Linked DNA regions of Neodiprion lecontei. The protein of the gene in region 1 purifies or fractionates together with the protein of each later gene. This does not show direct contact. Links are inferred from orthologs where the notes say so. Each region holds a gene or a part of one and is shown on either strand. Other genes may lie near its edges.

Evidence for each region.
Region 2: the proteins of MMS19 nucleotide excision repair protein homolog (region 1) and Fanconi anemia group J protein purify together in Homo sapiens (affinity purification with western blotting; 3 studies listed by BioGRID and IntAct, with this or other methods). This does not show direct contact. The link is inferred for Neodiprion lecontei from reciprocal best matches to the Homo sapiens genes MMS19 and BRIP1.
Region 3: the proteins of MMS19 nucleotide excision repair protein homolog (region 1) and probable cytosolic Fe-S cluster assembly factor CPIJ010948 purify together in Homo sapiens (affinity purification with mass spectrometry; 3 studies listed by BioGRID and IntAct, with this or other methods). This does not show direct contact. The link is inferred for Neodiprion lecontei from reciprocal best matches to the Homo sapiens genes MMS19 and CIAO3.
Region 4: the proteins of MMS19 nucleotide excision repair protein homolog (region 1) and amidophosphoribosyltransferase purify together in Homo sapiens (affinity purification with mass spectrometry; 3 studies listed by BioGRID and IntAct, with this or other methods). This does not show direct contact. The link is inferred for Neodiprion lecontei from reciprocal best matches to the Homo sapiens genes MMS19 and PPAT.

The regions. Positions count from the first base shown.
Region 1 is NC_060265.1:27,433,473-27,440,452, reverse strand, and holds MMS19 nucleotide excision repair protein homolog, read left to right. Parts: upstream 1-1,764; 5' UTR 1,765-1,806; coding exon 1,807-1,903; intron 1,904-2,195; coding exon 2,196-2,434; intron 2,435-2,557; coding exon 2,558-2,890; intron 2,891-3,004; coding exon 3,005-3,599; intron 3,600-3,680; coding exon 3,681-3,962; intron 3,963-4,060; coding exon 4,061-4,782; intron 4,783-4,905; coding exon 4,906-5,163; intron 5,164-5,306; coding exon 5,307-5,471; intron 5,472-5,642; coding exon 5,643-5,843; 3' UTR 5,844-6,478; downstream 6,479-6,980. Other genes in the region: ubiquitin domain-containing protein 1, read right to left, coding at 1-23, 815-896; MORN repeat-containing protein 4 homolog, read left to right, coding at 6,736-6,745, 6,918-6,980. UniProt on the Homo sapiens protein: Key component of the cytosolic iron-sulfur protein assembly (CIA) complex, a multiprotein complex that mediates the incorporation of iron-sulfur cluster into apoproteins specifically involved in DNA metabolism and genomic integrity.
Region 2 is NC_060262.1:26,772,801-26,777,364, forward strand, and holds the start of Fanconi anemia group J protein, read right to left. Parts: upstream 3,026-4,564; 5' UTR 2,903-3,025; coding exon 2,811-2,902; intron 1-2,810. UniProt on the Homo sapiens protein: DNA-dependent ATPase and 5'-3' DNA helicase required for the maintenance of chromosomal stability. Acts late in the Fanconi anemia pathway, after FANCD2 ubiquitination.
Region 3 is NC_060264.1:4,193,988-4,198,958, forward strand, and holds probable cytosolic Fe-S cluster assembly factor CPIJ010948, read left to right. Parts: upstream 1-1,854; 5' UTR 1,855-1,985; coding exon 1,986-2,051; intron 2,052-2,162; coding exon 2,163-2,258; intron 2,259-2,387; coding exon 2,388-2,543; intron 2,544-2,655; coding exon 2,656-2,926; intron 2,927-3,022; coding exon 3,023-3,271; intron 3,272-3,361; coding exon 3,362-3,742; intron 3,743-3,817; coding exon 3,818-4,059; 3' UTR 4,060-4,456; downstream 4,457-4,971. Other genes in the region: dynein axonemal light chain 4, read right to left, coding at 425-673, 994-1,053.
Region 4 is NC_060262.1:24,779,012-24,786,647, forward strand, and holds amidophosphoribosyltransferase, read left to right. Parts: upstream 1-1,602; 5' UTR 1,603-1,758; intron 1,759-3,851; 5' UTR 3,852-3,866; coding exon 3,867-4,071; intron 4,072-4,228; coding exon 4,229-4,521; intron 4,522-4,703; coding exon 4,704-4,953; intron 4,954-5,616; coding exon 5,617-5,850; intron 5,851-5,934; coding exon 5,935-6,062; intron 6,063-6,154; coding exon 6,155-6,376; intron 6,377-6,473; coding exon 6,474-6,746; 3' UTR 6,747-7,271; downstream 7,272-7,636. Other genes in the region: multifunctional protein ADE2, read right to left, coding at 475-484. UniProt on the Homo sapiens protein: Catalyzes the formation of phosphoribosylamine from phosphoribosylpyrophosphate (PRPP) and glutamine.

The DNA.
Region 1 (6,980 bases):
TGGATGGTTTTTTCTTGAATTACCTGCATGAAATTGTAAAAATAAATGGCATAGTTAATATTTTTAACTTCATCTGTGACAGAAAGAAGGATTACAAATACCACGCAAAACTTTTTTTAAATTACGCAAAGCACGAGGTTTGACATTTGCTTTACAATTTTATCTGAGGTGAATACAGATAGGCTGAAAAACATCGTAAAATAATGATTATATACCTGTATTTTTTAACAGATATCAACAAATAGCTCGATCTATTGATTGGAATAACTAATACAACAATAAAAAATAAAAGAACTTGCAGCTTTGTGAATAGGTTTCAATCTGGCATAAAAAATAGTTCAACACTTAGTCTTTTTATTGAAAGAAAATCTATTGAGCCATTGAGGCTATGTTTGGTAGCGTGGATCGAGGTCTGACATTTGTTTTACTATTTAGGTCATAGCTTGACAAGGTTCGAACATGTACCTACATCAGCGAATAGAAATTAAAATCACAGGTAGAAGTGACTAAAAACGAAAGCTACATCGTAAATGAGGAGTATCGAAATTTTTTTTTATTTTCAAACTTTCTTTCTGCTTCTTTTTTTTATTCCTTCGTGATTTCATCGCGCGCAATATACATAATGTTACGAGTCGGTATTCTGGATTGGGGAAAAAAATTGAAAATTAAAAAAAAAAAAAAATGTGAACGTAAGAGACCGCGATCGAGTCCTAAATTGCATTTTGAATAAATTACAGTTTTCATGCGGTGACCCATATTAGGTGTACATGATTTCCAAGGTTAGTTGGTGTTTGTTGAAAATATTGTTTCTCACCTGAATTTGTCCTCGTAGAGTTGCCCGACGTGTCGTCAACAGAGCCGTTCCTAGCCCTTGTTATGCCTATGCAGCCTCCCATCCTAGGCGGCGAAAATAACCAAACATTTCACTGGAATTTACCAACACCTTACATGCCATTTTCGTCCATCTTTACCTATTTTATCATTCCGCCACAACGCGCGCTGCCATCACACAAAACCTTGTTAAAAAATCTCTTGCAGCTCGAACTCCTAGGACGCCTGCCTGGGTTGTTTCCAGTGAATGACGTATATGGTCTATGAAGAGAGACGACGACGTGACGGGAGGGTTGCACAAGATGATAGTAATAAATAATAATAAAAATAAGCGAAAAGAATAGTTTTTTTTTAAAACACGATTGTAAATTACTCCGTAGAAACGCGGACCTTCGACTGGCCGTGTCGTTAAATTTAATAGGCTACAATTACTGCTTTCTGTTTATTAAATTTAACCCGTTAAGATTTAACAGTTATCAAAAGAAAATTATATATGTGGATGTAAAAAGAAAGCACGATAATTTAAAGAATGACAAAATAAATCGTGGTTAGGGGGTGACTGTATTATTATATTGAAATCACGAAGTAATTAATTGTTTTTCAACTTCAGACGTTTCTTTTTTTCTCTCTCTTTCTATTTTATCTTCACGAAGGTTTCCTCATACGCATATGTATATGCTGGAAGTCAGAGATAATAACCTGCGGCGATTTTTCGCATGTAATGTTATTATTAGAATTCATAAGATATCAATAGAAACTTGAATCGTCAAGGACTTTGATAAATTAGACGTCATATTTAAGAATTTGTAGATGTTTTCGTATTCATGTACGCATTCTAAAAATCATCAACTGTGCACGATATTTTACAGGGCCATGCCGCGATGTCGAATAGTGCGTAATTATTCGGCGATCGCCTTTTGTGTTGGTAACTCTACACACTGATCACTCACGGTATTGAAAAATTCAGGGTGAAATATGGAGGTTTCAGCGAGCTCCTCACTCACCGAGAAGTTATCGGCAGCTTTAAAGAACGATAACGACTTGATTAAGGAATGTCAAGATATAGCCTCAGGTATGCATTATCATAATTACTTGACTAATGACGCGCCTGCTGACCTTGAAATATCAGGCAAAACAAACTTGTTGGGACTGAGGTTATCTTCTGTCTCTATCGCTCTGTCTTCATTTCGGAAAATGCATTCCATCAAAATTTTCAAAATGATCAGCTGACATGAAGAATATTCAATTTTTCGTTGGTCCCATATATTTTGTTCAGTAAATAATTATCCGTCGATCAAACCTCATGTTTTCACCTGCGAAGTATCTACTCTGCGATCGATACATCTCTCATTTCATATTTTCAGATATAGAATATGGAAAATTGAAGCTTGTGATTTTCGTTGAGGAACTCGCTCCGTTTCTCACTGACAAAAATGTTACTTCGAGAGCTCAGGGAACGCTTGCGTTGTCAACAACCCTGAAGCACTTGTCGAAAGATTTTCTAAATGAAAATGAGCTAAATTTTATCACAAATTTTTACTGTGATCGGATGAAGGATCAGCATGAAGTTATTCCATCGGTTTTACAGGGTGTCCTGACTATCGTGAGCTCTTATATTCAATATTATGTTTTAAAATAAATATCAATTCTCAGTCATCAATTTTCCTCTATAATTCACAATATGAACCAGTGATTACTAATTTTCACTACTTTCAAAATGTTACAGGTACAGATGAGCCGTTTACCTCAAGATTCGCCTGCTAGATTGTTGAACCTCATGTTTCAGCATGTACATTGTCAGTCACAGCTGCAGCCTATTCGAAAGTTGATATATTTGATATTCCAAACACTCCTACAAAATAGAAAAGATGCCTTACGTTCCATGGGGCCTGATTTTATATACGGAGTAATTTCATCTATAGACGGCGAACGAGATCCAAGAAATTTGATGCTGTTATTTGACATGCTTCCAAATTTTATTCAAGAATTTCCATTGGGCCATTTGACAGAGGAAATGTTTGAAGTTATTGCTTGTTATTTCCCAGTTGATTTCAATTCCGTAAGTAGCCCTAATCATGAAATTTTCAATTTTTGGTTAGTATGAAATTTTAATTCCTGTTTTATAATTATTCGACATTTTTTCATCTTGTAAATTTTTCAATCAATTTTACAGTCTGCATCAGAGGCTCAAACAGTTACTCGTGATGATTTGGCGTACGCCCTAGCACCTTGCCTTTACGCCTCTCCAGAATTTGCCGAATTTTGCATACCTCTCATAATCGAGAGATTAGACTCGAGCTTAAGACTAGCAAAACTAGATTCATTGTATCTTTTACGCAAAGGTGCTTCTACCTATGGAGCCTCAAGATTGCAACCACACCTTGCTGAATTATGGCCAATTATACGAAAAGAAGTCTTCCCAGGCGGGGATATTGAGATGAGAAATGCTGGATTAGAAACTATAACTGAATTAGTTAAAGTGTTGTCCACAGATGATGTAATACGAGACAGTTTCATCGAAAAAGTTATCACAGATACAAAATCATCACTGTGTGACGTTCAATTGAGCCTTTATTGGCCGGCTGAAAAATTGTTGGAAGCAGTCGCTAAGGCAAATAAATTAGCTTGTGCCCAAGTTTTGAAAACCTTTATACCATTGTGCCTTGGTCAATATTCAACAAAGACTTCTTACTCGGATAGAGTTACCTTAACAGAAAGTTTGAATAGTTTGATGGCAATATGCGAAGAGCAGAGATTTGTAATAAATAGTATGTCAATGCATTCAGCTCACATCAAACTTAGTAAAACAATGCACAATTTTTAATCTGTTACGTTACCAAATTTTACAGGTGTGCCCGAACTTGCTTGGACAGATATACCAACATTGTACTTGAATGCCTTAAATACTGATAATATTGAGCTAAAATTGAAGACTTTCTCTGGATTGGCAATACTGAAATCGTCGTTGAGTGACGTGGCCAGAAAACTTCTGTATGAAAAAATTTGTATGGCAGTAGATGATGGAAATAATCAACTAAAGAACACATGCCACATATGTCTGTCAACTTTTGCTAAAATTTATCCAAACGAAATTCTGGGTACCGTTATAAACCAACTAGCTATCAATGACTGTAAGCTTGAGATATTCATTAGCAAATTAACGTACACCACTTTTCTTATAATTAATTTCTTCAGTTGGATAAGACTAATGAATTAAAATTATTTCCAGCAAACACTGATAATACGGTATTTACTCACCGATTGCAAGCCTTATGTGCTGTAGCAAAAATACCAGAATTAGGTCCACAAATCCTACCTAATGTAGTAGTGGTAGCTATGTCTAATAAATTGGAAAAGAGTATCGCAGCACTGTGTTGTTTGCGAAAACTTGTAGCTGGGAGAAGCGATACATTCAGTATACAACATTTTTTGTATAAAAATTGTAACATTGTTGAGTTATTGGTATCAGCAGATACAAGTGGCTGCTCCACTCAAAAATTAAATTTAATTGCATCGATTTGTCGATCTATAGTTAGAAAGTTGGATGTGAAGGACCAACAACAAATTGTAAATAAATATGTTTCAATTCTTAGTGAAAAACTTTCCGAAAGCAATGTGATTGTATTGGAAGGACTTTTAACACCATTGCAAAGAAATGTTGATATTGCTAATAAGGTAAACTTGTTAAAAAATCTATTACACCTTGCAATCAACAGCGTCAGTTCGAGTTCTAAAGAAGTATCAAGTAAATTGATATCAGTATTGATAAATAAACAAACCGAAGACAAAAATTTCCTAATAGTTTTAAATATGCTGAGGGACCGTATCAAAAACATTTTGGAACACGATTCGAATACCGAGCTCAAAGAGTCAGCCATCTTATTGAATACGTGGCTGACGAAAGCTTTGGTTGTCAGAGGAAGCCAAAATTCTCAAGAGTATCTTGATTTCGTAAGTATAAGAAGACGTAATTCAACTTTACTTTGTACCATTTTATGTCACATGATATATTGCATATTTTCTACATCGGAGAATGAAAATTATGTACTAATCAAGATTTTATGTTTCTTATAGCACATAAATTTGCTGAAGGACATGGAAATGGGTCACAATGTTGCAAATGGTTTTAAAACTCTATCTGATAGGTTTGAGGATACTGTGACTGAAGAGAACTTCTGCAATGTTAAATTATTCTACAAACAGAGGATATTTCAGAATGTCATTCAAAAAAACAACGACTTTGATGCACAATCAAGAGAAAACTACCTAATGGCTCTAACACATTTAATCGAGGAAGTTCCAATGGAACTATTGCTCATGCATTTAGAGCCGGTAATATATATTTTATTTAATTTTAATATAACAATAATGATTATAGAGTTTACCAATTTATCACACGCGTGATAATTAATGAATTTACACTGCGATACATCATACTGTTATTTCAATGTGTTTGAATCTTTTTTTTTTTGAAGCTTATCCCACTCCTAATTGAATCCATGGCACTGGACAGCTCAGAGTTAATTCTGTCGACACTAGTGACCCTGAAAGTTTTGCTGGACACAGGGCACAAGATCTTCCATGAGCAAGCACAACACTTTATTCCCAAATTACTGAGTCTGACGAAACGTAGGGAAATGGTAATAATGATTCGCAGAAAATTTTCATAATTGTGCTTAAGTTTTAACTTGAAAAAAATTTGATCTTATTCCAATGGGTTTCATCAGAGTACCTTACCCTGAATACAAGTATCCAGTTTTACCTAAAATCCATGCTAGTTTTCAAACTTCGACTATTGTTTTATTTTTCAGAAAGTCAGAACTGCTGCATTGGAATGTTTGTTGCATTATGCAAACTACCCGACTGTCTTGATTCTACCTTTTAAAACGGATGTCTTGGAGCGATTAGCTGTGGCGATCGACGATCGAAAACGTTTGGTCAGGTCAATCGCTGTGAAAGCAAGAACTCGCTGGTATCTTGTTGGGGCACCAGGAGAACCGAAACAATCTTAACTCAGACGGAATAGCCGATTGTTCAATTCATTATTATAGTTTCATTTACACAAATGAATTTAAGAAAGGAAAATTGAACTTTGCCTGAACAGTCTAGATAGAATGCAATGAAAATTGCTTCCTCAGGCGAGTCTTCCCTGAAGACCTTTATCGTGGTAGCTGATGCCAATGTGTGATTTCAGACAGTTTCTGCCGTTACTGTCTTTTATTTTTGGGAAATTCTATAGATATTGATCTGTACTATAGTATCCAATGTTACCTTCAATCGTCCGTAAGGTACAGGCGAAAGACTTATCACGTAATAATATGATTTATTGCATGAAATCATAGAATAATGACCTATTGCTTCTTTGAAGTATTTCACAATTTTTATTCATTCTAACAACCGCAAATCAAAGTGATTTCCTGTTGCATATTTAACTGGAGTACTTTGCATTTGAAGTATTGCTAAAACGCCCAAAAGTTTTTAAGAATAAAAAAATATTGATACTGTCTCATGTTTTAACATAAAGGTTGTACAGTGTGTTGAAGAGAAGTAGGTACTTGCTAAAGATATGGAATATATGCACATGTCGATTTTACAAATGTCCTATTAAGTGTAGGTATGTAAATAAATTATGTGATTTCTGAAAATTTGAGATTGTTCTCAAGTATGCGTTTATTATGTCAGTTAATAAAGTAACTATTTTTTACGGTTGAAATCAGGTGGCATGGTTAAACGATAGATTTGTGTTTTCATTATATTTCTTTACAATTTTCAATAAAACTTCGTAGGTACAGAATCTATAAAATAACAATCTGCTCCAACTATACCTAATTGAATCAGGCATTGATCTGGAGTAATTGGATTACTTGTGGAAGCCACATTTAATGTGTTTAGTGTGCCGATACAATGGTTGACGGTAAGAGGTGCCCGATATTTCGTCTGTTATATTTTTAAAAAAATTATTCCCCGTCTACAAAGTAGAACTGTAAAAAAAATATTTATATTTAAACTATTCATCATTGCCCTATCAACAAAATTTTTCACAAATTTAGAAACCTAATCTGAATATGATAGCAAAATGTATCCAGCAGGTGGTGTGGCCAAGAACGGTGCTTACAAATATGATGATGGTACAAGGTACGTTGGTGATT
Region 2 (4,564 bases), on another chromosome or scaffold:
AAGGTAGCGGAATCGAAACAAACAAGAATATGTAAAAGGGTTTCGCGAGGGAGTAGAAACTTCTGGAGTTCTGGAAACTTTGGAAGAAAGTCGAGTAACAGGTGCGCAAGTACAGAACTTAGACTCGACTCTAAAATTTTTAATGACGCAAGCTCCGCGTCAAGCACGCCGGCGGATTCATTGAGCATTTTCAAAGCTGTAAATTTTCTCCAAGAACAAAACTCCGCAGTATCTTCATAAATAAAATTCTAGGTTATTTCTTTCCCACCTTCAACTTGGATTCAAATCTTCATTCATAGGTACAGTAAAAAGAGTGCACAATATATAAGATGTCTCGTGTGGTGTCGCAATAAAAGTCCTGCACCTGAAAACGAGCGATGCTTTATAATAACAGCGGAAAGCCTTTTCTACATGAATTAGGGTAAGTACTTGACAAATGCCGCGTACGTACACGGGAAGCGGAGGTAAGGAAAATGAAAAAAATTAGGAAGATGTACAAGAAGACACTCTAAGACGACGATAATCGAGACGAACGTTTCGGCGTTTCGCGCTGCACATGGCATTTCTCGACACGCTACATCCTCTGCCAGCTGTGTCGCGGGCTCATTTTTCTTTACAACGTCGTTGAATGGACTGCACCGCGTGTCGTATATTTCACTGTGCACTCGCAAGACGACAAGTTCCGATGGAATATAGGTGCATAAAGTGATCGTTATATTTCTACACCGCAATTCCATCGCATGCAGTTGTCCCTTTCACACATGCTCGATACTGCTGAATTCGAGTTGTAGGATACATTTGACACCGGAGTAGCTTGCCATATGTCGATCTGAGGCAATACGGAGTGAAAAAAGGGTTGACAAGGAAAAACTGGGGCTTTAACCTGTCAGAAGTTGGTTCAATTTCATTTCGGAATTCCCCAAGCAATGGAAGTTCGTTTCGTTGTTCTTCTTACGCGACTAATTGCGGCAACTAATTTCGTTCCAGTAGTCACGAAGTGATAATGGAATCGCGTATTATTCCTCACTTGTTTTCCACATTTTTCTAACATTTATAAATAAATTTATTCGTTTTTCAACTACGAATTCTTTACAAAGTCTGTATTTTTCACCCAAAAACGCTCTTTCGCTGCGTGAAAAAAATTTACTGAGAAACCGGATTCATCTCAAATTACTGACCGCTGAAATTTTTTCAAACAATATTGTTCCTCTCAATTAATGTGTTTAAATATCCAAATATTACGGCATCTTGATCCAGAAACGCATTTGAATTTATCTCAATAAAATGAGTTAAAAAGTAGGGGTGGTCAGAGATATTAAATCAAAATTACAGTCTTTTTGGATCAAAAATATTTTTGAAGGTGTTTCATGATTTGAAAATAATTCTCATAAGTCAGTCTAATTCGTAATTCCTTTTTTTGACGCCATTGAAGTTCGTAACGTTGATGGCACAATTTATTTTTAGGAAAAATTGTCATTCCATCAGAAAAGTATCAGCTGACTACAAAAACCGTAATAAAAGATTGCATAATTCTATTTTGAAAACACATCTCCTGAATTAATTACTCTAAAATAGCGAAATATTAAATAAATATTACAATTTGAATATATTCTTTCAAGTGAACCTTACTGACTCCAACCTTATTTTTTTTTCCTTTCTTTTTTTCTTTGAATGATTGAATTACGCGTTAACGACTTTTTTAATTTTTCAAATCATTCTATTTTGGTTTCTCCTCAATAACTGTGTGTAATTTCACGGTGAATGAATACAGGAAAAATATTGTCAACAATTCTAACGATGCGTTGGACTGGAAATCGACCATAACATAACATTTAATTACTCATAATTGGTAAATTGAAGCGTAAAATGCTTCTAAAAATGTCGTTTAAACGGACAAATAGATATGTTTACTTCAATTCTAGCTTAAAATGAAATTTGTAAAATAGGTATGCGAAATGAATTATCAAATGTCGAATGGTATTGTATACTGTAAATATTATTATCAGGGTTTTTCTACTACTAACCAACCAGGACTCTGCGGCTTTCAAATTATTCATATTTAATTCAGCGCTTAACAAATACTGTCGGTGGTATGTGCATGAAATTTCTTACGCTACGCTCCAGATAGGATACAAGCAAACATTACATTACAGTTTCAGAGCTCGTTACATTAAACGAAGATTTTGCAATTCCAACATAATTTAGTCGAATCAGAGGGAATCGTTCTTTTTCGAAAATTTTTATAAAATTGTACGATCTATTTGAACAGAGATATTCGACACGTGACCGACGCTGAATGCAGTACCTAAATCTTACACAATATCGAATAAAAAAAAATTGAAAATGCACGTACAAATCTGATCTAAATGGCGAATGCAAAACAGCAAATACACAATGAATTTTAATTAACGATTTCAAGCGTTACTCCGCCCTCGTTCAAAAATGTTCCACGAATGCGCGGTTAAACGTAAGCACCAATAGGTGGACGTTGCCATGACACACGCCACGACCTCGTGTACAGGAGAAATCCGTGGCGTACACATATGAAGCAAAATAAAGCTACGCATGCGTCTCTCTGACTCCGCGCGACCACGCGACTCGATGTGTCGTTGACTGATGCACGCGGATAAGGCCAAACGAGAGGAACGGAGTGACACGGGCTGATAATGCGAGCAGCAAGCTCGCCGTAAGGCCACGAGTGGCGACGATGACGATGAGAGATGGAGCGATAATATACACAGATAAGATAGGGGGGAGCGATACGGGGTGCGAATCTAACCTCAAACGTCAAGATTTTAGCGAATACTCACGGTGACGGAGGATCGAGGCGCCGTCTTACGAAGGCGAGGGATCCTGAGTAGACACAGACGATGATGAATATCGCTGCCAGAACGATGATCATCGCCCGGTGATGACCTATCTGCTGGTTTGTCGGCGAACGCCGAAGGTAAACATTGAGGTTAGAGGACACAAATAGCCGGAGCTTAGCGGGGCCGACTTTCGCTCGGCACTCGACGCTTCGACGTTCGACCGTCGTTCGGGAGAATCGATTCCTCGACACTCGGCGCGGGACACACGACAAGTTTCGAATTTCGAACGCCACGCAACGGAAAGAGAGTAGCACAGGCACGCGAATAACGCGACTTGTTCGGCGGACTAGACGATCGTACTTGTGTAAACATGAGGAATACGAATCTGGGGTCAGAATTGTTCCGTTACACACAGATTTTGAGTCGTGTATGGGGTATTCCACTATAATTTGAACACCGAAGTATTTGGGGTGACGGAGCGATTCTGACTACGGATTCGGGTTCAGTATTTGCAACGATATATCGAGATGTGATCTAATCCACCGGACAAGTGTTTTTCGTGATTTCTTTTTTGTGTTATTACCCGCATATATAACTCAAAATTTAGGGGCGATAGGACGATTCAATTGAACCTATTTTTAACCTATGAATTAATCGCAAGACATGCCTTGATGGATTACGAATCTAATAGCATTCGTCGTTAAGTTGAAACTTGGAATTTTTGTTTAAAAATAATAAAGGAATTTATTACATCATTCATGTGTTTATATATTTTATGAACTGAGAAACAATTCTCGAAAATAATAGGTATCACTGGATTCTAATATTTCATCGAATGAAGCTACCGCGGTGGTACGACATTTTTTCGAGGATTAACATGATCTGAGTATAATCTAATACGGATTTAAAAGAAAAAATCAAAATATCGAATTCTCGTGCCAGAAAATATGTTTCACGATTACGTTAATAGATCCATTCTAGGCTTCAATCGTATACTCAAGTTTAAATTGAAAATAGATTTTTTCATTCAAGATTCCCAAGCTAATATTACGTTTAATAGAATTATTAAATGCGAGTCATCTCACAACATTGTTCGCTTTTTTTACTTTAATACGTGTGAGATCAACTATATAATATTTATTATATGTATAATAGCTCTGCAAAAAGAGACAATTTAATTTCAAATTATAGTTGTAAAATTTAATACTTGCAATATTGCAACGTCAACATCATTTTTGTGCACAAAAATGTTTTAGAATCGGCTAAAAATAAATATGTACAGGTATTATACAGATGGTTTTGAACCTCCCTTAAAAGCAAAATAAGATCGTGTAGAAGCGATAGTTGTTTATAAGAATTGACACACCTTTCGTTCATTTCAGATACAGATATATGATTCTAAAATTCTGTTAATAACAAAATCTGACTTTTAAATAAAAATACATTAACTATTTCAAAATTGAAGTTTTTTCCAGACATTAGAAAGATTTATATTTTTCTTGTATTACGTCTAAATTCGAAAGAGCAGAATTTCAAAACCTGAAATATCCTAAATTCGGGGATGTAAAAATCTGTAGTATGACATCAGCAAGAAGAAAAACCATTCGGACGACAAGAAATTGTGTTTCCAAAGGGTTGTGGCAATAATTGTTGAAATTCTCCGTATTACGTCTTTACTGGAATATTACCGAAGCACAAACGTAATATTCATACGTAATATGAATATCATAATATATGTATATATGCCTGTTGTA
Region 3 (4,971 bases), on another chromosome or scaffold:
CTCACAGAAATTTAAATCAAAGATTCAGAATCAAATTCCATAGAGTCTGTTTGTACTTATACTATTATTAATCAGTCATTCGAACATCGATTTATCGTCAATTTTTATAGTAAAGATTATCGATCGTAAAAATTTTCCAAACCACGATATTGCAACATATAAAGTACCTATATGAAAACCAATTAAGATCGGTATTAATCTGTTGAAAAAATAGGAACGAGAATATTTATAATCTATAGTGAAACCATTTACACGAATGACAACGTCAATACATCTTTAAATATATTGCCAATACTCATCTCACAGAGTTAGCACATTTAGAAACATTTTTTATCAATTGCTTGTGATTAGGATAGTGAAGTAGCTTTTTTGTCTAGCTGATAGCATTAGTATACCGTTATCAAAATAGACTTTAATGTTATGGCTACGCGGATTTCCATATACAAATAGCTAAATTTCCTGCGCAATACATGTACAGAAGGTGTTTTAGCTGATAGGTAATCTCGAATCCGTATCCTTCACCCACTACCGTGTGCCAGGATGCTCCAAATTTTTTGTCCATCGTTTCCTTAATCATTTTCGAAGCACTCTCGTAATTATCCGCGTACTTCTCGGCTGCCGTTACGCATAACTCCATCGCTTCCTGTTTCATCTCGTCGCTCATGTCACATTTCTGTTGGAACAAACAATAAACAACAAAAATAAAAATACAAGAATGCCCCATTAACTTCAATTTCCACTGAAAATGTTTATTTATTGAACGACTGTGAAAATTAAATTTGAATTCAATATTATACACTTGATTCTAAGTTCATTTGTTAATCTTAATTTCTAATTACACAAAAAGATGCAAAGATATTGCATCAAAATTAGAGAAGAAATCAATTGCTCGAATACATGATTCGAATTTGTTTATTTTTATTTTCGAGAAAAATTTAATGTACATTATAATTACGTTTAGATATTTGTAATTGAATGGGGATTGAAACTCACGCGACACAAGGGATACGTATGAAGTATTTTGACGACATCGTCCTTCTTGACTTCCGTCATCGTTCTGTTGTTTATTTTTATAATTCAATCTCAATCGTAGTTATAATTGCATTACACTATTAATTGTATGTGCGGCAACACACGACGAAACACCTGTGTTACACTGATGCAGAGAAAATTGCCGTGAAGCAGGCGAAATTGGGGCAAAATTATTGCGCTCGTGACTCATGCGGAGTCGTGAAATCAGATGTCAAGTAGGAAACGGGGCGTTGGGCATTTGGCAGAAAGGGAGGAGGCAAAATATTTACTTCCCAAGGCAACAGGGAGGAAGAATCACCCCCCACGTATCTATGCACTCGATTTCGTCATCGTGAATGGTGAAAGAATAGGCGCCGGCGCAATCGCGACATCGCACGCTGTGTTTTAATATTGTCCGTTTCGATTGTTGTTCATATACAGGTATATGGAATGTCAACGCTCGAGAACTCGTAATATATCTATAATTTAAAACAATCAAATTCCTTAATTTTATCTCGTAAGCAAAATACAATTAATAGTGCTCGTAATTCATGGTCAAAAAGAGCCAAGCAATTGTGTTGCGTCTAAGCTGTTATTGACTACAGTTGCAGTTTATTTTATTGCAAGAGTTTTACCGTCTGTGTAGATTTCAAAATATAATGACAAATTTCTTTTACAAAACTCAAATCAATGCGAATCCAGATGAATTGTATTCAGAGTTGCAATGTGTATTATTTGCCACCAGATGGATTCGAAAACGCTCTTTCCCACTGTTGGTCATTGTTGCTTCTAAAAGTGTAAAGTGGCGCCACCCGCGATTACCGAGCTATTACTGTATTGTATAAGTAACATTAGCTTGACGCTAGTACACTGGGAAAATCACGCAGTTTGTCGTGTGCGCAAGTGATAGTCATTGATGTATTGCGAAGTATACACCTGATATTCCGACTGATTTCAATATAAAGTTTTAAAACATGGCATCACGATTTAGTGGTGCTCTGCAATTGACGGATTTAGACGATTTCATAACTCCGTCACTGGTAAGTTTAAAAATATGTTATTCCCGTAGAATATCACCTAAACTTTTGTATTTGCATGTCCAGTTTCTCGAGCGTATAAGAATAGGCGCTAAATTCGAATTTGTTTTACAGGAGTGTATAAAACCAATTGAAATACCAAAGTCGAAGGCTAAGACAGGGGCTAAAATAAAAATACAGGAAGACGGAGCTTATGTAGAATTAAATGAGGTTCGTCTGTTAATAATGAATATTATAAATGCTGTCCTTTTATATAGTCAGAACTAATACCTTTTCACACTTCCGAAACTGAACCGAGCATGTTTCACCCAATTAATTATTTTTATTTCTTTATCACAGTCTGGTACTTCGGAAAAACTTCAGAAAGTCGAGATCACTTTAGCCGACTGCTTAGCTTGCAGCGGCTGTATAACATCGGCCGAAAGCGTTCTTGTTACTCAGCAGAGCCAAGAGGAACTTCTGAGGGTCTTACAGGAAAATCAGAACTTTCGAGAGGTAATGCATTATATCTACATCGTACTCCTTGTTTCTCGAATGGAGGCAGAGTCGATAAAAAGTTGGTCACAATCTATTCTCAAATTAATGACAACGTTTTGATGTTTCACAGAATGGAAAACAAGAAGAGGCGAGATTCATCGTAGTGAGTTTATCAGTACAGCCAGTTTTGTCGCTAGCCGAGCGCTATGGTTTGGATCCAGAAAGCGCTACCCGGAAATTAGCTGGTCATTTTCGTCAATTGGGAGCAGATATGATATTGGACATGACTGCAGCAGATGATTTTTCTCTGCTGGAATCAGCGAGAGAATTTATTGAAAGATATAAGTCTTCTCAGGATAATGTCAAAGGTCAAATACCGATGCTGGCTTCGTCTTGTCCAGGTATAGCTTATTTTTTACCGAATACTGTGACTAAAAATTCCGACAGTTGTGTATTATTATAATCCATCCAGGTAATTTCTTTCTTTGTACAATTAGGCTGGGTTTGTTACGCGGAAAAGACTCACGGAAATTTCATACTGCCCTATATAAGTGTGACAAAATCGCCACAACAAGTAATGGGTTCTTTGGTCAAATACCATTTGACCAAGTACAAAGGGCTACCTCCTGAGCGAGTATATCACATCAGCGTGATGCCCTGTTATGATAAAAAATTGGAAGCCTCTCGAGAAGATTTTTACAATGAACTTAAGCAGACCAGAGACGTCGACTGCGTGATTACGTCAAGTATGCAATATTAGTAAAACGTGTCGAGATGCATTATTGTGAATTTATTCATCTTCATTGTTCGTGATTATGAATTTTGTTTTTTTTCAGTTGAATTGGAAAACATGTTGATTAGTCAGGGAGTGTCATTGAACGATGTTGAAAGTGGTGAAATAGACCGACCTTTTGGTGCATACAACAAAGAACAATCTGACAAAATACTTTGGGGACATCAAGGCTCGGGATCAGGTGGCTATGCTCATTTCATATTCCAGTACGCCGCTTATCATCTTTTCCAAGAAGCCAATACTACTGTTGAATTTAAAAATCTAAGAAATCCAGATTTCAAGGAGGCAGTTTTGGAAAAAGATGGAAAAATTTTACTCAGGTTCGCTATTGCCAATGGCTTTAAAAACATTCAAAACCTCGTTCAGAAACTTAAAAGAGGGAAGTCTCCGTATCACTATGTTGAAGTTATGGCCTGTCCTTCAGGTAAGTCTCATTCAAGCGACAAAGCATATTTCAATATTCGTTTCTTAAAACTTGGTTTTTTTCTCATCTTTATAGGCTGCCTCAACGGTGGAGCCCAAATACGACCTCAGGATGGTTTACAGCCACGTGAATTGGCCGCTAAACTTGAAACAGTTTATCACAGTCTTCCTTTAAGTAAACCAGAAGAAAATTGTGTTACATTAAGTTTGTACACTACGTGGCTTGAAGGCGAGCACTCCGACAAATCCGCTGCTTTCCTCCATACGCAGTATCATGAAATAGAGAAGATGAATACGGCACTTGCGATTAAGTGGTGAAATGTTCCACAAGAATGGCACAACTAATAACTAAGTAGGTAATTCTCCAAATTGGTATAAGGTAAAGAACAAAATTGGATGATTTGTATTAGCAATTACGATATATTAATATTTATAAACATCTTTATCATTTGAAATATATTTACAAATTAAAATCATATGAAATAAATATGTGGTACAATACTGAAGTAAATCGACACATATTTCATGCCAGAACAACAAGTTTTGAGTTCGAGTGTTATTAAGTGTTACTCAAAAAATCTATCTAAGAATTAAAATTGTACTGTTTGTGTGTATTATGCGAAATTACTAATATTTTTCGGTTTCTCATCTATTCTACATAGTGTTATTATCACGTTACTAACATTAACTTCCAGTTATATACAGGTATGTTGCATTAGTTCGGAAAAAAGTTAATATCATTCTCTTTTATGTTTCACATCCCTGATTACAATTCTGATTAATGAATATATCCATAATATAAGGTAATCACGTCGATGCAACTTCGAAAGAATTATGCCATTTTTCTCTCTCTATTTTTCCATATCCAAATAAGTTCATACTTTGAAATCTGTTATTTGAAATGTTATTACATCTTACTTTACGGTATTGCTTTCCATTTTTTCGAATTGGACCATTTGTTTTATGTAACCACATATTTTGCAATTCATTAATTTTAATTTTCAATCAAAATTTTCTGAAATGAATACCAATCAATTCCACATTTCACGAAAACAAAGATTTCAATCTAGTAAAGCCCTTTGCATTCTTCAACAAACCATTTTAAATGAAATTCAATTCTCAATACAAGCTAATATTTATTAAAATCATAAATCGTACTGGGTGCTCTGTGTTACTTCCGTTTTATGCATCATCAATCGAGTAAGATTTCTATACAGATATGTATATATA
Region 4 (7,636 bases), on another chromosome or scaffold:
TTGAAGGCCAGGGTAAGACGCCCTTTCATGCGTGTACAATGTGTTTGTACCAAGCATTTTGACGTGGTAATGATGAAGTAAAAAATACTCTGAATAATGAACATGAATACCTGTACTCGGAATACCTGTTTAAATTAGCTGAACTACATCAATGCCGAGGGGTAGGCCATATTTTTATCTATGGTATTAGTGAATGATTCATGAAAAATAAATGGACAAGTTTGATGCGGTTTAAATATGGATAACTTAAATAATCAAATTATGTGGTCGCCAAGCTACGACCCATGCGCGTGTGCGACAGTTGGGTACAGTCGAAAGAAAAAAGTCTGGGATAATGGCGCCGAATTTTCAGTTGCTTCTTCATCCTACCAATGCGGTAAAATCTCTACTCTTTATTTCGTATACTTTGTAAGAAGCTGAATCCTCTGAAGGACTTCTGCGAAACAATTCAATTAATATAATTTATCAACTCACTATGAGACATAATGATTTGCCTGAAAGACGTCGGGATCTCTGCTGAACACACAGTTACCGCACCACGATTGTCGAAGACGCCGGATAGTCGTCGAATACTATCGCAACAACTCCCACCAACGGCCACAGCGTGATTGGCTCGAATTATACGTTATCGTCAACCCGATACATCCATGTATGAAATGGGGTGATACCCCCTGCCGAGAAAATATATGTATGATTAATTTTTATTTACTGACAGGCCAAATTTTATACTATAATCACAGGTCTGCGTCTGATTTTTTTTTTTTGGAAACAATCGCGTTAGCCCGATTAATTCATAGCCCCTGAAATCTCAACATGACTCGTTTGACCTTACATTTGTATCGCATTACTCAAAGAAACGTATTGATAAATTTACAGAATCGTGGGGTAGTGATACGTTTTCGGTTGATGTAATCATGTCTGAAATTTCGGGAGCAAAATTATTATATATGCGCTCCTATTAAAACTTGAGATTAAGAAAATCATTAATTGTTTCCAATCTAACAATAAGTAAAACTTGAATTTATCCTGTAGTTGTATTCGACAATTATACAACTGTAATAATATTTATACAACGGAAATTAAAGCTCTTGAACTATAATAATTCCAAAATTCAGAATATTTCAATCTCTCCTCGTGAATGGAAATTTTTTTTTGCAAATTTCATGATGAATTTGAATTACCCCGGATTTTCAGAACAACTGATTACCCAAAAAATTGCTCGAACGAAATTTGGGTAAAAGAAATCAACAACTTTTCCAAAAATTTTCAATGATTATAAGTTACCTTTAAATATAGCATACTTGTATATTCCTCCGCGTAAAAACTATATTGCCTTGATAGCCCATAATTAAACCAGGGAAGAAATGTCTAAAGATAATTAAAATCAGAAAACAACGTATATACTTAATTTACGAGCTGTAAATCTACATTTCATTTGTTCACAACACAATAATAAAGGGTCGCAGATCAGTAGTGTTGTATAATGAAATGTTTGTCAAGTTTCGATCGTTGCGGGATTGCTTCATTGATTTAGTTTCCTGCGTACATGTGACAGCTGGCGATAATTGTCCTTACGTGTAGTATAAAAGGAGATAAATAATATAATACGCACGACGATGAAGGAGGTTGGCGCGAGATGCCCCTCCACTCAAAAACTACTTCCCATTGGTCTTTACGGATCATTCTAACCCACGCGAGCGCTTGGCGTGCACGTTCGTTTTGGCGCTTTGGTAACTGCATCGTATACGCTAAAATTTTGTGAGTATATGAATTAAACTATTCACTCATGCATTAGCGAGTAAGAAATATTGCTTCTGCGTCAAATTGGGCTGATTTTCCACAGCTAATTTATGAGCAAATACCGACACTCGAATTTGTGCGAAAGTTATATTTATGTCGCAGCACGAATTCGACACGCGATTCGGCAACAGGTGTCCATTGCATGTTCTGTACCGTCTCATACAAAAGTATGATCTCAATCATTTGATTTTCGCATAACCTAATCAATTCCGTTCTGTTTTATCTAATATGTAAGAAATACCAATATTATATTTCTATTTCGCATTGTGTTTTGGTATATTTCTGCAATAGAAAATATACTGTATAAGGCAGAGAGAGTAAATGTTCACCTTGCAGAATAATCAAGTACGCCATATAGCATGGACAAATTTTAGTTTTTTTCGTGCGCCCGTGCCGTAACCGATGGTTTCGACTCGCATTTTTATAAATTTAATAATTATTAGTTTACAACGTCCGACTTGGGTTACCATAATATGAATGTTAATAATACTTTCCACGTCACATGGGTGGCTTTAACCTTACGGATTTCGAACCACGTGGGCGTTGGGTGTGCTTGTCATTAATTACATCATGTCTAGAGCCGATATCTACTGTTACTAATTTACAGCTTCAGATAATCAACTTAATCGTTTATAGCTTAATACTTTATCGTACAGCGGACGCATAATTACGCACGTTATACGCAATCTGTAACCACTGTACGCGATTACGTAGCAATTGTGTTATAATCATAATGATGATAATAATAATTTCATCATTGTTCGAACTAGAACTGTCGCAGTCGTTGTCATTAGAATTTAGAAACAGATTGACGTAAAATCACGCAACTGATGACAATTATGCATATCACTTCAAGTATCAGTTAATATTACAATCATGACTGTTAGTGACAATGTTCAATTCTTGTTATATATGTTGCGAAAATTTCTATACTATAATTAGTGGTAATTAGTAATTTAAGAAGAAACTTTAATCATAAGGTAGGTGAGGATAACAAATGCTGGAACACTATCTGGACTACATGTGTCGTCAGTAGAATATTATTGTATATAAAATGATATTGTGAAATTGCAAGAAATTATAAACACGTATGTGATAAAAAATAAAATAGCAAAGATGCCTTTGCAGAGGTCAAGAAAATACACAAGTTGCTTGATAATGGGGCGGGTTAATTCACCATCACTAGGGGGTCTCGTTATCAGAATGGAATGTACCAACGCTTCAAGTTGTGATTTTGCAACTGCTTTTTATGCATTCCGCATTATCAAAGATTCTGTTTGCCACTTACAGGCTATATATGACTTATTTTCTTGCAAATTTATATTTCAATTAATTTATTTGGCACTTGCGCATGGTCAGTTAAATTGCATGGAAATAGTAAAATTTTAGCCGGATAAATAAGAATTTTAGGGAAAGGCACAAGTTAAAGTAGCAACTTAAATATGAAACAGTAAAATGTGTCAAATTACATTAATGATAAAGAAAATATGAATGTCTACTCATTCAATAATTGATTTTTGAAAAATTGATCTTATTCATTTTCTAATATGTATGTGCAGTAAGTTTGATGAGATGTGATCAAATAATTATAAAGTACATCTACAGCCAAATCTTTCGAAATTTTAACTCTCAAAATTATTCAAAAAACTTTGAAGATGTTTGTCAACAATAACAAGATAAATTTCCAATACTTGATAACTCTAATGAATTTATTGAACCTACGCACTTTCCTGTTTTTTAATAATTCTTTTATTACGCAAAGCTGTGGTTTATATTCGAGGCAGTTCAAGCTGTTTATCTTTCGACTTTGATTCCTCTGTTTACAACTATGTGGGAATTACGACATTACATAGCAAATTATGCAATTCCTGTTCAACATTGTCAACATTAACTTTGTGCTAGTAAATTTAAATGTGGCAAAGGTCTTATACTGATCAATTACGTCAGAAATAATACTTTCGCAACTCACTATGCGCATGATAATATCAAAAGCGGATTGATCATTTCATTCACAGACACAAAATTCACGATATTTAATTCTTCATTCACAGAAACATACATTAAATATGTCCTGCAATGGGCCGCAAGACGATTGCACTAAGGCAATGTCTAGGCTTGCTGTGCAGACTAGACAAACAAAAAGACCTCACAGTAAAGGTGAAACACGTGGACAAAAAACTTCTGGATTAACACACGAGTGTGGTGTGTTTGGATGCATTGCTGCTGGGGATTGGCCATCACAAGTTGACGTGGCACAAGTGATTTGTTTAGGTAAATTTTTTATCTAGAATGACGTGAGCTGCAATGCTAATTACGCCCTGAATTATTTCTGACCGTGGATAAGACCGTGGAAACATCTTAAACGTACTAAACACTCAAATAATATTTAATAATTTTGATGTGCTAATTGAGTTCTTCTTTGTAACAGGACTTGTAGCCTTGCAGCATCGAGGTCAGGAAAGTGCCGGCATTGTGACGAGTAAGGGCCTTTGCGCAAAATCATTTCATGTCCACAAGGGAATGGGAATGATTAGTAATATTTTCAATGACGAAAATATCAGAAGATTGCGAGGAAATCTGGGAATAGGTCACACGAGGTACAGTACAAGCGCGGCAAGTGAAGAAGTTAATTGTCAGCCTTTTGTTGTTCACACAGCTCATGGAGCACTGGCTGTTGCACACAATGGAGAGCTTGTAAATACGGAATCCCTCAGAAAAATGGTAGGCTTCAATTTTTCCCTGAAATTGCACCACTATTAGTTTAATGTAAGATTAATAACTTCATTTTGATTTCCAATATTCGCAGAATTTATCACTCAAGCTTCCAAGAGTATTAAGCAATTTACTGATAAATTAATCACAGTGTTGAATTACGTTTTCTTTCTTTTTTTTTTTTATCACAGGTACTCAGTCGAGGAGTTGGATTATCCACACATTCTGACTCAGAATTAATTACACAAGCATTGTGTCTCAATCCTCCTGAAGGCGAAATTAGTGGACCAGACTGGCCAGCGCGGATTAAACACCTTATGCAATTAGCTCCCCTATCATATTCTTTGGTTATTATGCATAGGGACAGAATCTACGGAGTGAGAGATCCGTATGGCAATCGACCTCTGTGCCTGGGAAAAATTGTCCCCATCGGTAATCTTGGTGGGTGGTGGTGTAGAATGCAAGTGGTTTATTGTAGATATTTATTCGAACATTGTCTCGTAATTTAACACTAAACGTCCTGGCACTTTAGACTGTTGATATATTAATCATTTTAATAGCAATTTTCATATTTTGAAATGGCGTGTATTTTTTAACGGAAGAAAAAAATGTTCGTCAGATTGTTTTGTTATATTCGAGTTTTTTGAAATATTCCTTAAGTTCGACCGGATACAAATGTCTAACAAATACCTCCATAGTCTTGTCATATGTTGAAGTAGATTACATTAAATTACACGAAAACTTCAGTGCAGAGATTAAATAAAGCAATTAACCTACTATATTGATTTCTAGTATTTGTTTTGAGCTTTTTTTGTAAAATATCTGTATAGAGAACTGAAACTAGAGAGCATGCAAAATTCGCAATATCACTTTTCATGTTTGTACCATTTACTAAAAAGAAGTGTTTAATTTATAGAGAATTTTCCTGATCCTACTGCAGATTATCATTTTTCTTGCAGAGTATTCAGTTTTATCAATTTCAAATTTGCGCTACAAATAATTTACTTCGTTGTTAATTGACACAACGATAATGTATCATGAAACTCTTCATTGTATTTCTAATACGTGTAAATAAGAAATATTAATTTACTTTTCCTTCAACAGCTAATGAATCTGATGATGAGGACGAGGCTGATGGTTGGGTCATATCATCCGAGTCTTGTGGCTTTCTTAGTATTGGTGCAAGATACGTCCGGGAAGTTTTTCCAGGGGAAATTGTTGAATTAACCCGTGAAGGAATTAAAACAATTGACATAATAGAACGACCGGATAAAAAGCCACAAGCATTTTGTATATTTGAATACGTGTATTTTGCACGGAGCGACAGTATTTTTGAAGGTGAATAATTTTTTTCATATTCCTTCGTTTTTTGCAATCATCAAGAATTCATAATTTGAAATTTCTCTTATTCTTTTATTCCAGGTCAAATGGTATATTCCGTTAGGATGCAGTGTGGAAAAGTATTAGCCCTGGAATCTCCAGTAGATGCAGACATAGTTAGCTCAGTCCCAGAATCAGGCACAGCAGCTGCGCACGGATATGCCAGACAGGTGAATAGTGATTCAAACAATTTTGTATATCATCCATGAAGCCTTAGTGGTTTTGAATCCATTTCTTGAAAATATCGATATTTGTTTTTCAGTCAATGATACCCTTTGCTGAGGTTTTGTGTAAAAACAGATATGTTGGTCGTACTTTCATTCAGCCAAGCACAAGACTGAGACAATTAGGAGTGGCTAAGAAATTTGGTGCACTATCTGCAAATGTTAAAGGAAAGAAACTTATATTAATTGATGACTCGATTGTTAGAGGAAACACAATTGGCCCGATTATCAAACTACTCCGAGATGCTGGTGTTAAGGAGGTATAATTGGCATATTATATATATATGTGTTAATAAGATTGTTTATATTAGCCTGTAAACAACTGGATAAATGTAAACTTGGGAACATTTTTTGCAGGTTCATATTAAAATCGCGTCTCCACCTCTCAAATATCCTTGTTACATGGGTATCAATATACCGACACGAGAAGAATTAATCGCAAATAAATTGGATAGTATAAAATTGGCTAAACATGTTGGTGCAGATAGCTTGACTTATTTATCAGTTAAAGGGCTTGTTCAAGCAGTTAGGCATGGCATGGATAACCGAGATTGCAGTTATATCGGACATTGCACTGCATGCTTGACGGGTGAATATCCGGATGAATTACCTGGTGACTTGGACTGGTAGATACTGGCACCGAAAAATTACATATACAATATTTTCGACCGATTTGATAAAATTCTTTGAAAGTTATTTCGCTTCAATAACATTTTCGATAATTTGTCAATTTCATAATTTACATATGACCAAAAATTGAATAATGTTTCTCGTTTGGATCTTTGATACAGCAGAGCCCAGGATTTTGATAATCATTAAGCAAGCAGATGTAACACGCTGCGTAAAATATATCATTTAGAATGTAGATAAAATTGACTATTTAATTTAATTGTAGAATTAAGAAAGATACATTGTCATACTGTAGTGATCTCATTCGATCTGATTGAATGTACTGTTTTGTATCAATTATTCTGCGCTATGATATTAGCAACCAGAGGCCTTTATGTAACATACACATGTTTACTAATACATTGTAAATTACTTCTAGAACCATACTTTTGTAAACTTTGTGATTACGTTTAATGTTACGTAATTTGTACTCCATAATTTGTATATTACAAAAATGAAAAAATATATTACATCATTTGTTAGTGATATGATTCTTGTTTAAATAAGATACATTTACCCTTATACTTATACGCACACCAAAACACTACGTCGTGCTTTGAAAAATATGTATAATTATTAACAATTTCTCTGAAAAGTAATTGTCCAGTATCAACTGCGAGAATTTGCGAGATTAGAGAGCGAGTTTGATTTGAGTCGATGAGGAACGACTAGAATTGATGCCAATGCATTTATCTATTACTTGAAGAACGCGACAGAATAATTAGTTGCGAAAGAGCCCATATGTCGTAATACTTTTGAATTCAGATTTTCCTTACGAAATACTTCTGAAACTATTTTTACTACCATTACAATCGACATATTCACAACTTCATGAAAATCTGGTCTCCAAA